3 linked regions of the Macaca fascicularis genome follow. The protein of the gene in region 2 interacts with the protein of the main gene of each other region in a biochemical or structural test. Links are inferred from orthologs where the notes say so. Each region holds a gene or a part of one and is shown on either strand. Other genes may lie near its edges. The genes, in order: CSRP3, MYOG and SRF.

The links.
Region 1: the proteins of MYOG (region 2) and CSRP3 form a complex in vitro, tested with the Homo sapiens proteins (2 studies listed by BioGRID and IntAct, with this or other methods). The link is inferred for Macaca fascicularis from reciprocal best matches to the Homo sapiens genes MYOG and CSRP3.
Region 3: the proteins of MYOG (region 2) and SRF form a complex in vitro, tested with the Homo sapiens proteins (2 studies listed by BioGRID and IntAct). The link is inferred for Macaca fascicularis from reciprocal best matches to the Homo sapiens genes MYOG and SRF.

What each region holds. Positions count from the first base shown.
Region 1 is NC_088388.1:46,509,187-46,513,985, reverse strand, and holds the start of CSRP3 (cysteine and glycine-rich protein 3), read right to left. Parts: upstream 3,285-4,799; 5' UTR 3,255-3,284; intron 1,018-3,254; exon of another isoform or gene 873-1,017; intron 1-872. UniProt on the Homo sapiens protein: Positive regulator of myogenesis. Acts as a cofactor for myogenic bHLH transcription factors such as MYOD1, and probably MYOG and MYF6.
Region 2 is NC_088375.1:60,896,023-60,900,876, forward strand, and holds MYOG (myogenin), read right to left. Parts: upstream 3,199-4,854; 5' UTR 3,147-3,198; coding exon 2,676-3,146; intron 1,903-2,675; coding exon 1,821-1,902; intron 1,749-1,820; exon of another isoform or gene 1,578-1,748; intron 1,231-1,577; coding exon 1,082-1,230; 3' UTR 307-1,081; downstream 1-306. UniProt on the Homo sapiens protein: Acts as a transcriptional activator that promotes transcription of muscle-specific target genes and plays a role in muscle differentiation, cell cycle exit and muscle atrophy.
Region 3 is NC_088378.1:128,359,587-128,364,187, forward strand, and holds the start of SRF (serum response factor), read right to left. Parts: upstream 3,246-4,601; 5' UTR 2,860-3,245; coding exon 2,347-2,859; intron 2,119-2,346; exon of another isoform or gene 2,051-2,118; coding exon of another isoform or gene 1,937-2,050; intron 663-1,936; coding exon 396-662; intron 1-395. UniProt on the Homo sapiens protein: SRF is a transcription factor that binds to the serum response element (SRE), a short sequence of dyad symmetry located 300 bp to the 5' of the site of transcription initiation of some genes (such as FOS).

The sequences.
Region 1 (4,799 bases), on a different chromosome or scaffold from region 2:
GGTAAGAAAGATGACATAGCCATAGTGAAATAGCATGGGCCTTGGAAGAACCAAGCTTAAATTCAGAAACACTAACTGTTGAACGTTGGGCAAGTTGGTCAAATTCTCTGACCCAGTGTCCTCAACGCATGTCCTCATGTAAAGACAATATGAGAAAGCTTGTCTGGGAAGGTTGTTTTCAGGTTAAAGAAGATAATAATGGCTGAGACACTATATATAATTACTTAATACCTAGCAGGAATTGAATAATTGTAGTTACTTGCATCATGACTGTTATTGTTTTTATTACTCTATCTCCAGTTTTCAAGTCCGTTCTGTTAGAATAAACAACTCACTCCCTGCTTGTTCTCCATGGCTCTTCTGGTTCAGACTGTGAATCAGGTTTGTTTTTCAGCCTTCGGAGTGTGCCATGACCCGGGACAGGTGTGCCCAGTTCAGGGTGAGAGTCGGCCGGCCCCCTTGCATTGTTGGATTGGGTTGGAGGCAGCATGCCCAGCCAGGAGCCCTGTGGCCCAGGGAAGCTCATGCCCTTCAGTTCTCGGTGTAGGACATTCAAGGTCAGTGGCTGCTTCCTCCTGAGCTTCTGAACCCAGATATATGACGTCCTCCAGCCAGAGGCCCTTTTACAGAGCCCAGGAAGCACAGGTTGCTCATTGCCAGCATGGAAATAAATCCGACTGTTGGCTCTCACCCCCTTTTAAACTCAGACATGGTAGACACACATTAAATGAAGGCTGTAGAACATGGGCATCTTACACCTTTTCTGAAATTACATCTGAAGTGTGGCCAACTTTTACTCCCCAAAACTCACTCTTTGTCCTATTTTGACCTCCACAATTTATTTTTAAAGATCACATCATATCCCAGTTTACCTCCTGGCTCTGCCGCTTTCTCGGCCGTGTGATGCTGGGCAATTCCTACGCTTTCTTGAACTTTAGTTTCTTCCTCTGAAAAATGAGTTTTGCAGAACTTTTTGTGACCCCTAAGTAAGGCAGTACTTGTTCCACACCTGCCCAGGGCCAGAAACAACCATCAGCTCATGATCAACCCTTTCCCACCGTAAAGCTCAGAAAAGGCTCCATCCTCCATGCCCTTCAAGATCATTACTGTCTCCCTTCCTGCCATTCTTCACTGGGATGAATAACTGCAGTTTTTCACATTTGCAGGCATCACATTTCTCTTTGACTATGAAGCCCAGCCCTCTATACAGTATTTATTCACAGATATCTGAACAGCACACTTGTAACTGGAAATCTGCCTGCCTCGGGACTTGTATTTGCTGTGTATTATATTCCTAGCTCTGGGTCTTTCCTCTTGTAAAACAAATTAATTATCTTCTAACTCCTGGTCAGCTTCTTACCCACTCTGACCTCTGGACTTTTATCAGCACGCTTGTACTTAGCAGGAAACCCTCCCAAAACCCATTGGGTTTGGCTGTATGCCTTTTCTCAACGGCCTCACATAATTGTACGGTTATATTAAACTTCACAAAAGTACTCTCCTGTACTTTATCTCATTCAATTCTTACACATTCCTTTGATAGAGATAGCCTATCCTTAATTTTATTGTTCAGAAAATGGAAACTCAGAGAAGTTAAGTGATATTCAGAGCTATAATTTGAACTGGCTCTATAACCAATTATCTTTATTTTCTTCTTGAAGTTCCCAGGATTTCTGAGTTTGTATTCTATCAAGATTCTGTCTCCACTTCCTCCAAGGGGATTTTGGCTATTTGACGGCTGAATGCTGCTGCGGCTCCCTCTTCCTTCCCTCCTCTCTTTCTCCCTTCCGCCCTCCCTCCTTTTCTCTTTCCTTCCCTCCTTCTCTCCTTCCCTCCCTCTCTTCCTTGCCCACTGCCCTGTGTCTCTTCTGTCTGATGGATGACATATGTGTCTGGGCTGCAGAGCACCTGTCTGCCTGAACCCCAGGGACTCAGCTACCTCCTGCCCAATAGCCTGGGCTCATTGCCACCGACCACAAACGACCAAGTTGTTCAGAAAGGGACCAAAGCCAAGTTAGAAGACGCCCTCACATTTTCTGGGTTGGAAAGCAGTTCTACATGCATTGTGATGAATTGGATGTACCCAGCATTGAGATTCAATCCCAGATATAAACTGAGGACACAGGCCATCCCCAATTCCCCACTCTTCTTGCTGTTTATGTTCACCCTTCCCTGCATAGAGCTGCCTCTACCTCCCTCCAGCCCTGACATAGGAGATGATCCATACATGCTTATTAAATTACATTGAATTGTATAGCAGAGACAAGGTTCCTCAGACCAGTAACTCAAGTCCTCCTTCTTGGAGGAGTCAGCACCTTGGTTAAGGAACAGGGCAGAAGTTAGAGGCAGCAGCTTGGATCTTTCAGCAGCATTTCCACTCAGACCATTGCTTAATACCACTTCTTATTCTCAGTCACACCTATGTCTGTCATTCACTGGGATATTTTAAAAAGTCCTTGACTAAAACCTAGAGGAAACAATGGGAATCCTGACCACTGGCTGAACTATCCCTCCCATTTAATAGAGCTTTTAATATATTTCAACATAGCAATGTCTTTTTGGGGTCCAGTTTTGATTAATTTCAAATGATTAAAAGCAAATTTGTTGCTGAACATCTTTGGGATACAAAAATCGATTTAAAATCAACAAGCCCAAAATCTCAGTCATTCACCATGACCTTTTGAATAACACAATTCCAGCTAATTTGAGCATGGGAAAGCTGTCTGATATATTGCATCTAGTACAATCGCTTATCGCTTTGTATCTGTGCAGTACTTTACAGTTAGGAAAAACGTCGCCAATTTATATTGATCCTTGCAGAAGGGGAGACCAAGCCCCAGAGGGCAGGAACCTTCTCAAAGTCTGTCATCCACGAATTATGTGGTGGTTGTAGGACTAGAAGGTCAGCAGACTTTGCATTATTTCCTCCCGCTTTCCAGTTGTTTCAACAACGACGACAGGAAACGTAATTCCACCACATAAGTAATTTTATAATGAGAATAACCCCTTACTCATTTATCTGCCTGTGAGGTCCCTTAAGCCCCCCAAATATTAACCATCCTTGCAGGAATTTTTTACTACCTGCTAGGTCCACACCAGAGTCAAGCACAACTTGAATCTCCTTGCACAGAACCAGACAGGGTGCTGGCGCTTGAGGTGTGAGATGTGCCCTTACTCTATAGGACCCTTTGCAGTCCAAACCAGCCACAGAACCAACCCACCTCCAGCCCGAATGTCTATCTCGCTCCACTCACCTGCCTGTGTAGTTTCCGTTCAGCTCAACTGAGTCTGAGGGGCTCTTGTCCTCTTTAAATATATGAAGGCTGTCACCAGCCTTGGCCTGCTGGAGGAAGGGCAGGAGGGAGGCCGAGGGAGAGGGTGAATGAGACGTGAGTAACACAACTGCTATCAGAGGCTGAAAATAGCCTGTGACCAAAGCCCTGAGTTTTGTCTCCCCCAACCCCCCAGCCAGCTGTGAGCCTCTTGGAGAACCATATCACTTGGGTTCTATTTTCACTGCCAATTGCTTATGGCACCAAGGGATCAATTTATGAAGTGTGTCATTTCTGATCAAGTGGTTGGAACAGGAACAAGAGCTAGGGGTTTAACACTGAAAATCATTTCTCCAGGCCCCCACCCCACTGACCTTCCTGGAAATCAATGCAAGGTACCTCCAAATGAGTCATGTGCCATATCTGGGAGCCTCTGGAACTCAGAGCCCCAGGTCACCACACTCGTGAAGAGAACTCAGAGCTAAAAATAAGGGTGATGGGTGTCTGAAACGATACTTAGATAATCTCTTCAAAGAAGCTTGGGGAAAAAAAGGTTGGCACATCACTTGGAACCTGTTGCTCCATCTATCCTAGGAAACGAAATTTTCTCTAAAAAGTTTTGAGTTACTTTGTTATTGTCTTTTTCTGTTTAAGAATGTGACACAGCAGTGCATATTTATCATCATCACATTATATTTATAACGTCTCGACATGTCTCTGTAGACCCATATTTTCTTTGGAGGTCTAATTTCTCTTTGCCTGGAATTCACACAGTTTAGATTTGATCAAGCACCAGGGACTGATATAAATTATAGCATTGAAAAGCTGACAAGAGGTTCAGAGATGTGAAGACCAATTCTTCGTGTTATAGATGAGGAAACTGAGGCACCGAGCACCTTTCACTCGTGTTGACCCGGATGTTGAGGTAAGGTGCATGTAGAACCCAACCTGGAGGTTTATGATCCAGCCCTCACACCCAATATTAGCCCTTCAGTTACCTGCTCACAAAGCAATTGGTTGAATGACAGAATATTTCACTGTCAAGAAGGTTGTGGCAATTTCACAAAGACAGCCGTGGTATAGGCTCCTATGAGATATCCTCGGTCTGTGTTTTCACTGAATGGCATCTTCATCATAGAGACGAGGCAATCATGAGGATCTTAGAAAGTTAAAGCTACAAAGGACTTTAGAAATCGTCTAGGATAGTGGCTTTTATTTGTTTGTTTGTTTCTTTGTTTAGAGAAAGGATCTCGTTCTGCCACCTAAGCTAGAGTGCAGTGGCATGATCACAGCTCACTGCAGCCTCCACATCCTGGGCTCAAGCAATCCTCCCATCTCAGCCTCCCAAGTAGTTGGGACTACAGTCACACACTAGCACTCCTGGGTAATTTTTTTGTAGGGATGTGGTTTCACCATTTTGCCCAGGCTGGTCTCGAACTTTGGGTTCAAGTGATCTGCCTACGTCTCAACGTGCTGAGATTACAGGCTTGAGCCACTGTACCTGGCCAACCAATAGTAGCTTTAAAA
Region 2 (4,854 bases):
GGGACATGACGCAGAGCACAGCAGCCTGTGAGCAATGGCTGTGAAGTATAGTCCTAGCCAGTTGTCCTCCGTGTCCCACAAGGATGTCTGTGGAATCTGGTCTCCACCTAGACTGAGGTCTAGACATGCTCGACTTCCTTCCTCATGGTGAAAAGAGCCGGGGTCCCCAGTGCCTAGTGACCACCAGCAAGATGAGGCCCTCAGCGCTGTGGAGCCCCGCCCACTAGGGTGTGTCTGGACTGCTCAGTGGGAGAGGGCAGGGCTGTCAGTCATTTCCCTCCCTCTGCATCATCACCGACACTCTTCTGGCAACCAGTCTTTATTCATTTTTTAAAAAAGGAAATCCAAATAAGTTAGCAAAAAAAAAAAAAAAAATACAAAACAATGGCAAAACCACACGATGCTTAGTTAACAAAAGAAATCACCCCCAAGAGCCCCCAACCCCCTTTCCCTGCCTGTCCCCGGCAACTTCAGCACAGGAGACCTTGGTCAGATGGCAGCTTTACAAACAACACACAAAACAAAACAAAACATAAAACCACTGGAAGGTTCCCAATATTCACTGCAAAAGTTTGGCCCCCCAGGGACTTGGGAACAGAGGATTGTTTCTCTCCCTTTCTTTTCTCTCAATTCAGGGCAGGCCCAGCCCAGCCACTGGCATCGGGAAGAGACCAGAACAGGAGACGTGCACAGCTTGTCCAGGTCAGGACACTGTCTGTGTCTCTCAAACTGTTTCACTTAGGGGGTGGAATTAGAGGCCATGTTATGATAAAAAGGAAACTCCTGAGTTTGCCCCCTGAACTGGGGCATACATGAGGGGGCGCTCTGGTCCCCTGCTTTACCTTCCTGGAAAGGGGATGCCCTGTCCTCTAAGGAGGCAGCTGAATGAGGGCATCCAGTACCTTGCTGGGGGGTGGGTTAACCTTACATGGATGAGGAAGGGGATAGTCTGGCCTATGGCACCCCAGAGCTGGCTTCCTAGCATCAGGGCAGCCTGGCTTAGGAGGCCCCTGCTACAGAAGCAGTGGCATCTGTGGTCAGCTTGGGGGGCTTGCAAGGATGCCTGGCTTGGCAGACAATCTCAGTTGGGCATGGTTTCATCTGGGAAGGCCACAGACACATCTTCCACTGTGATGCTGTCCACGATGGAGGTGAGGGAGTGCAGGTTGTGGGCATCTGTAGGGTCAGCCGTGAGCAGATGATCTGTAAGGGGAGGTGGGAAGGTGGTACCTGGGTGAGGAGTGGGGGTTCTTGAGGCCCAGAATAGAGGATGGGACCCTTGGGGTGACACAGGTTTTCCAGGACAGATGGGGGATAAAGCTCCGGAGTTCTACTCCCTAGTCCCTGCCTTTCCCCATGCTGTGTGTGTGTGTGTGTGTGTGTGTGTGTGTGTGTGTGTGTGCGCGCGCGCGCCTCTTCTCTGAACTCCCCTAGTGAGGTAGGGTTTGGAAGCAGTCACTCAAGTTGGAGCAGGATGGAGCTCCCCAGAGACTGGACCTGCCCTTTGCTCGGCCCGGTTTTGCAGCACTGACTCAGCACTTCGCAGAGACCCCTGGGGCAGGGACATTGTCCTCTCTGTGGAGAAGGTCAACCACCAGGCATCAGCTGGGGAGCTGCAGGAGCCACTATCACTCCTTTGCTGGTCAAGACTGCAGGGCTACACAGAACCTCCCAGCCCACCCTTTGGGTCCTGGAGTCAGCAGGTCCCTGGAGAGACCCAAGGGAAGAGGACCGGAGCAAGGAATAAGGTAAGAGGGAAGAACGCCCAGGGAGGGACTGAGGGATTGGAGTCAAGGTTACCAGGGTCAAGCCTCACTTACCCCCGGGGTTGGCGCCGAACTCCAGTGCGCTGCCCCACTCTGGACTGCAGGAGGCGCTGTGAGAGCTGCATTCGCTGGGCACCTGCAAGACAGGGCGAAGGCCCAAGGTCGGGGCACAGCCGTTCTTTGATGTGTCTCTCTGCCTAGTCCCAGTGGGCAGAAGCACCTGTGGTGGGGTTGGAGGGTGGGCCACAGGCTGTGGCCTTCCAGCCCAGGCCATCCCCAACCCCAGAATCTTAGTAACCAGCTCCTCTCATGTCCTAGAGGCCCTGCTTCCAGGCCTTCTTGGCTTCCATCCTGAGTGGTGGTTCTGCCCTCACAGGACCCCAGGTTAAAGGTCCCTGGTTCTCCTGACTCTGGTGATAAGGGTGATGGAGACAGATTTTCTGGCCCAGTGAAGGTCACTCTGTGCAGGCCTGCTGGAGTTCCAATGAGACTGAGTGGGTTTTCTCTCTGCTCAGCCACACCCAGGATGGGGGTGGGGCAGGGGGCAAAGCAGCCTTCTCTGGTGAACTTGGCCTGGCTTTTTAGGCTCTGACTCAGGCTCTGCGATTAATCCTCACCCTTACCCGGGCTGACTGTGGCCTTGCTCCTGATCCTTTCTTCAGTCCTGTGTTCCCCACCCCCACCCTTTCTGCACTTCCTCCTCACTGCCTCTATCTCCTCTGGAAAGAACACAGGACACAGGGGGTCAGCTGGATAGCCCAGCTCTGACCAGGGAAGGGCTCCTGAAGCCCCTCGACCCTGTCTGGCACCTGCTCCAACCCTCTGAGCCCCTCTTGGGGTCTTGAGGCTGTCCAGGTGCCTCCCTCTGGCCCCCTCCCCCTGGGGCAGGGGGACGGGATGGCCACTTACCCCTGGCTGGGGCCCACCCCCGCCCCGGTAGCGGAGGTCACGCTCCTCCTGGTTGAGGGAGCTGAGCAGGGTCTGGAGGCGCTCGATGTATTGGATGGCGCTGCGCAGGATCTCCACCTTGGGCAGCCGCTGGTTGGGGTTGAGCAGGGTGCTCCTCTTCAGGGCCTCGAAGGCCTCATTCACCTTCTTGAGCCTGCGCTTCTCCCTCAGTGTGGCCGCCCGCCGCCGGTCCACGGACACCGACTTCCTCTTACACACCTTACACGCCCACGGAAGGCACTGGCCCGGACAGTGCTCGGGGGTGCCCAGCCCCTTGTCTTCGAGGGGCCCTGGGGTCTCGGGGCTCAGGGTGAGCTCCGTCCGCTCATAGCCTGGTGGCTCGAAGCCCTGGAGGTGGACAGGCAGGTAGTTTTCCCCGTCATAGAAGCGGGGTTCCTGGTAGAAGTAGGGGGATGTCTCATACAGCTCCATGGGGTCAGAAAAGGCTTGTTCCTGCCACCAGACCCCAAGCTCCTGCAGCCCCTCACGCCAACTGCTGGGTGCCATTTAAACCCTCCCCGCTGGCATGGAACCAGAGATAAATATAGCCAACGCCACAGAAACCTGAGCCCCCTCTAAGCTGTTGCTGCACATCAAGACGTTTACAGTGGATTAGATGTGATTCCCCTTCTCTCTCCCCCATGGCCCCCACCCCACCCAGCCAGCCTGTCCCTGGCCCAGGCGGGCTCCTGTGCACGGGTCGGGAGGCCGTCGGGTGTAATTTGATTAGTTTTCATTTCTCAGCAGCCCCTGTGGGGCAGGGGCATTGGGGGAGGACACATTCCCCTCTCATCTGCTCCTTTCAATTACTCCTAGCTGGGCGGCCTGCCTGCTCTCTCCTTGCTAGTCCCCAAGAAGCTGGTGGGTGTAGGGGGAGGAGGGAACAAGGAAGGGTAGGCTTAGGCTGGAAGAGGCCTTAAGAGCCAACTTATCCATCTCCCTGCTTCCTGACAGCACCTTAACCACACTACATCAGTCGATGAGACTCTTAAAGACCTCCCTCCCGAAAGAATGGGACTGCTTCAGATTCTGGGCATTCATGGGCACTCAGTATCCGGGGATAAAAGGGATCAAGACTCAGAGCAGCTAATAGATTCCACTTTTGGGGTTCCCAAGCAGCTCTGACCTGTATGTTCTCTTAGGTCTCATGTGATGGGGGGTAAGTTGAGGCAAGAGAAATTATTTGGGTTTTGGTTTTCTTGGCAGGGGTCAAGAGAAATTTTCTCTTTAATACAGCGGCCGTGGTCAGAGCAGAGATTAGAATTTACAGCTTACACGTGCCACCTTCCCCAGAGCCGCAAGGTCAAGATGTACTAAGCTCCCTGTCTCCTCCCTGTCTCACTCCGGACCATTGATCTGTCCTTCTATGTTACCTCCTCAACTCTTTTTCCAACACCAGAATTTTCCTGACTCATTACTGTGGATGGGGGTGAAAAAGGAGAAAAAACAGAGCCCTTCAAACTCAGTTTAAATCTCTTCTCTCCTTGGCCATCGGGCTTGGTTGTTCTGCCTCTTCATCTGAGCCATCAATTTTACATGTATCATGCAGGTCTCAAATGTCAGGTGGAGCAGGGACTGTATAATCTTCGGGCCTCTCAGGCCATGGTCACCTCTCAGTAGGTGCCTCAGGGTCTGAGAGGACAAATTCTTTCCAATGCAGTGGGCAGACCTCAGACACCAGCAGTGAACAAGGCTCAGTCTTAGGGCTGGGGATTATAGGGACACCCCAGACAGGGTCCCTGCCCTTGACCTTACCATCTGGTAGACAATGGTGGTCACCTCTTTCTACCTAGCCCCTGATGACCGAATCTCCTCCCAGGCAACCACTGTTCAGCTTCTGCTCACGTCAGGAGACAGCCCGTTCCATTGACGTGCAGCTTTGAGCTGCAATCTTCTCCCTCTATCTTTTACCCTTTGTTCCTAGTTTTTTCCCTTAGGCCCCATAGACCAAGTCTGATCTGTCCTGCTCCTCATCCTATGACAGATCAAAATGACAAGTTCAAGCCGGTGGCAAGGACAATGAGAGGAAGGGGAACTCTGCTGGGGACTCAGGGGAGATTACAAGGGAGATGAGATCTGTGCAGCATGTGAAGAACCAGTGTTCCTTCCTCTCATTGTTCACAGCAGGGAGCCAGGAGAA
Region 3 (4,601 bases), on a different chromosome or scaffold from region 2:
CTGCTAAGAGTGCTGGGTTCTCAGGACCCCGGAACCGGAGTGCTCCCTTTCTACTCCCTGGCGACCAAGCCCGGAGGGCCGGGCTAAGCTACACCCCCGCCCCTAGCGGGGAGACAGCTGGCGGGAGGAATGCAAAGGCCCTGCCAGGCAGGCGGGCTGCGGGCGGGAGGCCGGCGTGGAGCCCGAGCCGGCCTTATATGGGCACGGAGGCCGCCCGCTTATCTAGGGGGCCGGTCTTCTATCAGGAAAGTGAGGATGGACACCTGTCCCCTAGGACAAGGGTCGTTAATCAGGCTCCACTCCACATCAGTGGGTACCTATCCACCTGCCCTGGGCCAGAAAGAGAGAGGGACCCCCCTCCCTTCCCTCCTCTCACATAGGCAACCCAAACACACCTTGGTCTCCCCACTGCTGTCAGACTCCGACACCTGGTAGGTGAGATCTGTCTCTTCAAAGCCAGTGGCACTCATTCTCTGGTCTGTTGTGGGGTCTGAGCGGGGTGGAGAGTCTGGAGAGTTGAGGCAGGTCTGAATCAGTGCCTTGCCGGTCTCACTGGTGATCATGGGCTGCAGTTTTCGTGTGGCAAAGGTATACACATGGCCTGTCTCACTGGCCACCAGCAACAGCACCTGTGTCCCTGTCAGCGTGGACAGCTCATAGGCCTGAGGGGTGAGGACGGAGATGGGCAGGTCAGCAAACTTTTTATCTCTACCTTCTTTGAGAAGTTGGAAAAAGAATTATATAGTGATGTCATTCCCCCATTCCCATAATGACCTTCGTCTCTAGTGATTCTGGGGGCAGGGTGTCCTATCAGGATCTCTGGAAGCAGCAAAACTACCAATGCTCCTCCTTTGAGGAGCAGCCCCATTGACCTGAAGATACCCCAAGCAAACAGTAATAGCCTCCCAGTGATGGAACATATAACCTCAGGGGATACGGAAGGACTCAGCTATAGCTGCTCCCCAACGCAGCTTAGTGCCTGGAAAGTCCCGGAGCCTCAACCATTCTCACTGTCACAGGGACCAGGATGGATCCCTACCTATCACACTGGAATTTGCACATTAGTGATAAGGGACCACTTAAGCTCCAACTGTCCCATGTTTCTTTCCAGAAACTGCACAGGCTCCAACTTGTTGCCATAGCCTAGTTTCTCCTGTTGTCCTGTAATACTTTACTGCCTTTTTTACTTTGTCTTGGGAAGAAGGTTATGGAAGGGGAGAAGAGAATTTTCCTTCATTAACTACCTCCCCCCACAACCTTCTCCACTGATGATCAAGTGACAAGGGACATTGATACAACAGTGTCTAGAGTGAGGGGAGACGAGACCTAGATTAGCACTAAACATCCTGCCATGAGCCCAGGAAGGGGACCTTCAAGGATGGCCCCACAGATGCCATACTCTCCCAACAAAGTTCTACGAACCACCTTGGAAGCAGCTCTGGTTTCTACATGGGACAGAAATAAACACCAGCCAATGTTCCCAAGGATCCAGCTACTTGTCTCCCAATTCTTCTGCTTTCATCCCTTCCCTTATCATCTACACCCCAAAATGACTCTTTTCCTCACCACTTTTCACTGGCTGGCAGAAGAGGAATTCCTAGGTACCTCTGCAAGCCTCCCCGATTTCCCCCAAACCCCATCCATGCATAGATTCTCCCTAGGGCTGGAAACCCCACTTGTCCTAACGGCAGGAGATTCTGCAGCGGGTCCTGCCAGGAGCAGCATGTGGTTCCCAGCGGATGCCATGGAACACTCACGGCCGGCGCGGGACTAGGTTCCTGCTGCTCAGGGCAGCACCAGTTCTCCTGCCCCGCTCCCTTACCTGGTCCCTAACCCTGCCTGTCCTTCCAACCAGCACTACTCTCGTGGTGCCCATTTCCTCCCACACATGCTCGCTCATTGTTGTCATGCAGCTCCAGCCTCCTCACCTCCATACCTTCTCGTTTGCTCCCTGCTTTTCCAGCGCCCTCCTCCAAACACCGGAGTGCACTGGACCTACTGATCCCGGCTTCTCATTATTCACCTCCCCGGCAGCCTCGCAGCCTCCCATGACCGCTCCTCAAACCTCCACTCAACAAGGGCCCTCCTTCCTCTCTCGCGCCGGTCACTCCCACCTCTGCGCCTTTCCCCAAGGTTCCCGGCGTTCGCGGGATCTCCCCTCTCCCCACATTTCCCCGGCGGCCCCTCCCCTTCGGCCCTCCCCGGGTAGGAGCCATCCCCTCCCACACACCTCCTGCGGACTCGCCGCCTCTCACCTCCGCCTCGGCTCTGCCGTCCTCCCGGGCTCCCCTTGCGCATCCCCACCCTTCCCGGGCCCCGGGGCCAGCCAGCCCGCCGGCTTGGTACCTTCTTCATGATGCCCGTCTTCCTCTTGCTGAAGGTCGTGTAGCGCCGCAGCTTGTTGTCGATGAACTCCATCTTGATCTTCACGCGGCCCCGGGTCTTCTTACCCGGCTTGGCCCCGCTCACCGCGCCGCTCACCGGCCCGTAGCCCCCGGTGGCCGCCGCCGACGCCTCGGGCCCACCGACCACCATACCGATCTCCATCTCGCTCAGGCTCCGCTTCATGCCGCGCCGCTCGGCGCCCAGCTCCTCCTCCTCGCCCGACTCCGAGTCGCCCTCGCTGCCGCTGTAGAGGGCCCCCGCGGTGGGCGCCGGGGTGGTTGCCGCCGCTGCCGCAGCCTCCCGCTCCAGGCGGCCGGGCCCGAGCCCCGCGCCATTCCCGGGGACCCGGCCCCCGTTAGCCCCACGAGTCCCGCCGCCGCTGCCCGGCCGCCCCGTCGGGGTCCGGTTCAGGCTGCCCCCCAGGGCCGAGCCCCGGCCCAGAGCCGCCGCGGCCCCAGCTTGGCTCGGTAACATGGCGCTCGATGCAGGAGGGCGGACGGGCAGTCAGCGAGGAATCGGAGCCGCAGCCGCCGCCATCGGCTTCCCGGCTCAACCCGGCACTCCCGCTGCTGCTAGTGCCGCTATCGCTGCCGCGGCAGCCGCTGCGAACCCGGGGCCCCTGCACGCCCGGGCCGACCTGGGCCCTCACTTTCCTGCCCCTGTGGCCCGGGTTGCCCCAGGCCGCGCGCAGCGCCCCCTGTCCGTCTGCTAGGGCGGCGCGCCCGGCGGCCTTCAGCGTCCCCCGGGGGGCAGGGGCTGCTGGCCGCGGCCGAGACGGCGGGTGGAGGGGGCCGGGACCACGCGCTGGCGGCGGAGGGATCCCCCGACCCTTCCCCCCATATAAAGAGATACAATGTTTCCTTTTATGGCGAGGCCGCTCCTTATATGGTGAGCCCCAGCGCCCCCGCCCCATTGGTCCATGGTTCCGGCACCTCCGCTCCCCATTGGCCCGCAGGGGAGCGCTTATTTGCATAGACATACCAAACTCGTTCCTGTCCTCTCGCGTCAGACCGCGACTCCGAGAGGGGTGGAGCCGACGCCTCTTAAAGGAACCGGAGAGCAGGCGCGACTCCGCCTCCCTGAACCCGAGAATGATAGAACGGTTTGGGAAGCACCCGCGGAGAAGTAGCCTGGGACTGGAGCGCAGTCTTGCGGAAGAGAGGGAGCAGCACTAGGAAATGGGCTCCAGCACCGGGACCGCTGGAGACAAACACTGGGGAAACCCCTAGGTGGATTGTGGGGTTTGCAGTCAATTAAAAAAATACAGCCCAAATTCCAAGGGAGGAGTGCAGGGATTGATTGGAGCATTTCCTCACGCCTTCCTAAGGGAGGCACAGTTATTGGCTGAGCGGAGGGAGCTTGGATCCCCGGTGTCCAGACTCGTAGCACCCCAGCCGCTCAGCTCTAACTTTTCCCCTCCCCCCAACTTCCCCTCCCTTTCCCTTGCTTTTGTAGGCGACGACACTTTCCCACCAGGCTGGCTCGCGGGTCCTCATTCATCATCCTCTGCACTGGGGGGTCTTTGGCAGACATACATCTGGAAAAGGCGGGTGGAGGGGAGGGCGAGAGACAGAGATCGGTCTCCCAGTCCCGAGGCGGGCAGGGAGGAGAGACGGAGATCATTGAAGACTTCCAGCTGCAGGCTGGGCTGGGGGAGGGGGGCGTCCCGAGGATAAAGCCCACCCTACAGCCAGTGCAAAGACGGGAAATTGTGGCCCGACAGAAAGTTTATGCAAGCAAGCACGCTCACGCACACACACGCACCTACACACCCTTCTCTGGAAAGCCCGTTGGAGAAAGAAAAAAAAAGTTTCAGACAGGGTATCGCTCAGTCGCCCAACCTGGAGTGCAGTGGTGTGATCTGAGCTCATTGCAACCTCCGCCTCCCGGGTTCAAGCGATTCTCCCACCTCTGCCTCTCACGTAGCTGGGACTACAGGTGCGCGCCACCACTCGGGCCTAATTTTTGTATTTTTTGTAGAGATGGGGTTTTGCCATGTTGCCCAGACTGGTCTCGAACTCCTGGCATCAAGCTATCCTTCACCCTCGGCTTCCCAAAGTGCCGGGATTATAGGCATGAACCACTGTGCCTGGCAGAAAAAAAAAAAAAAATTACTTAAAGAATAGAACTGGGGTGCTGCAAAGTGAGGTTCAAGCTCTGGGTCTGGATCTTTTCTCCAAAGCAGTGAAAATAGCATGGACTTTGCTGTTACCGAA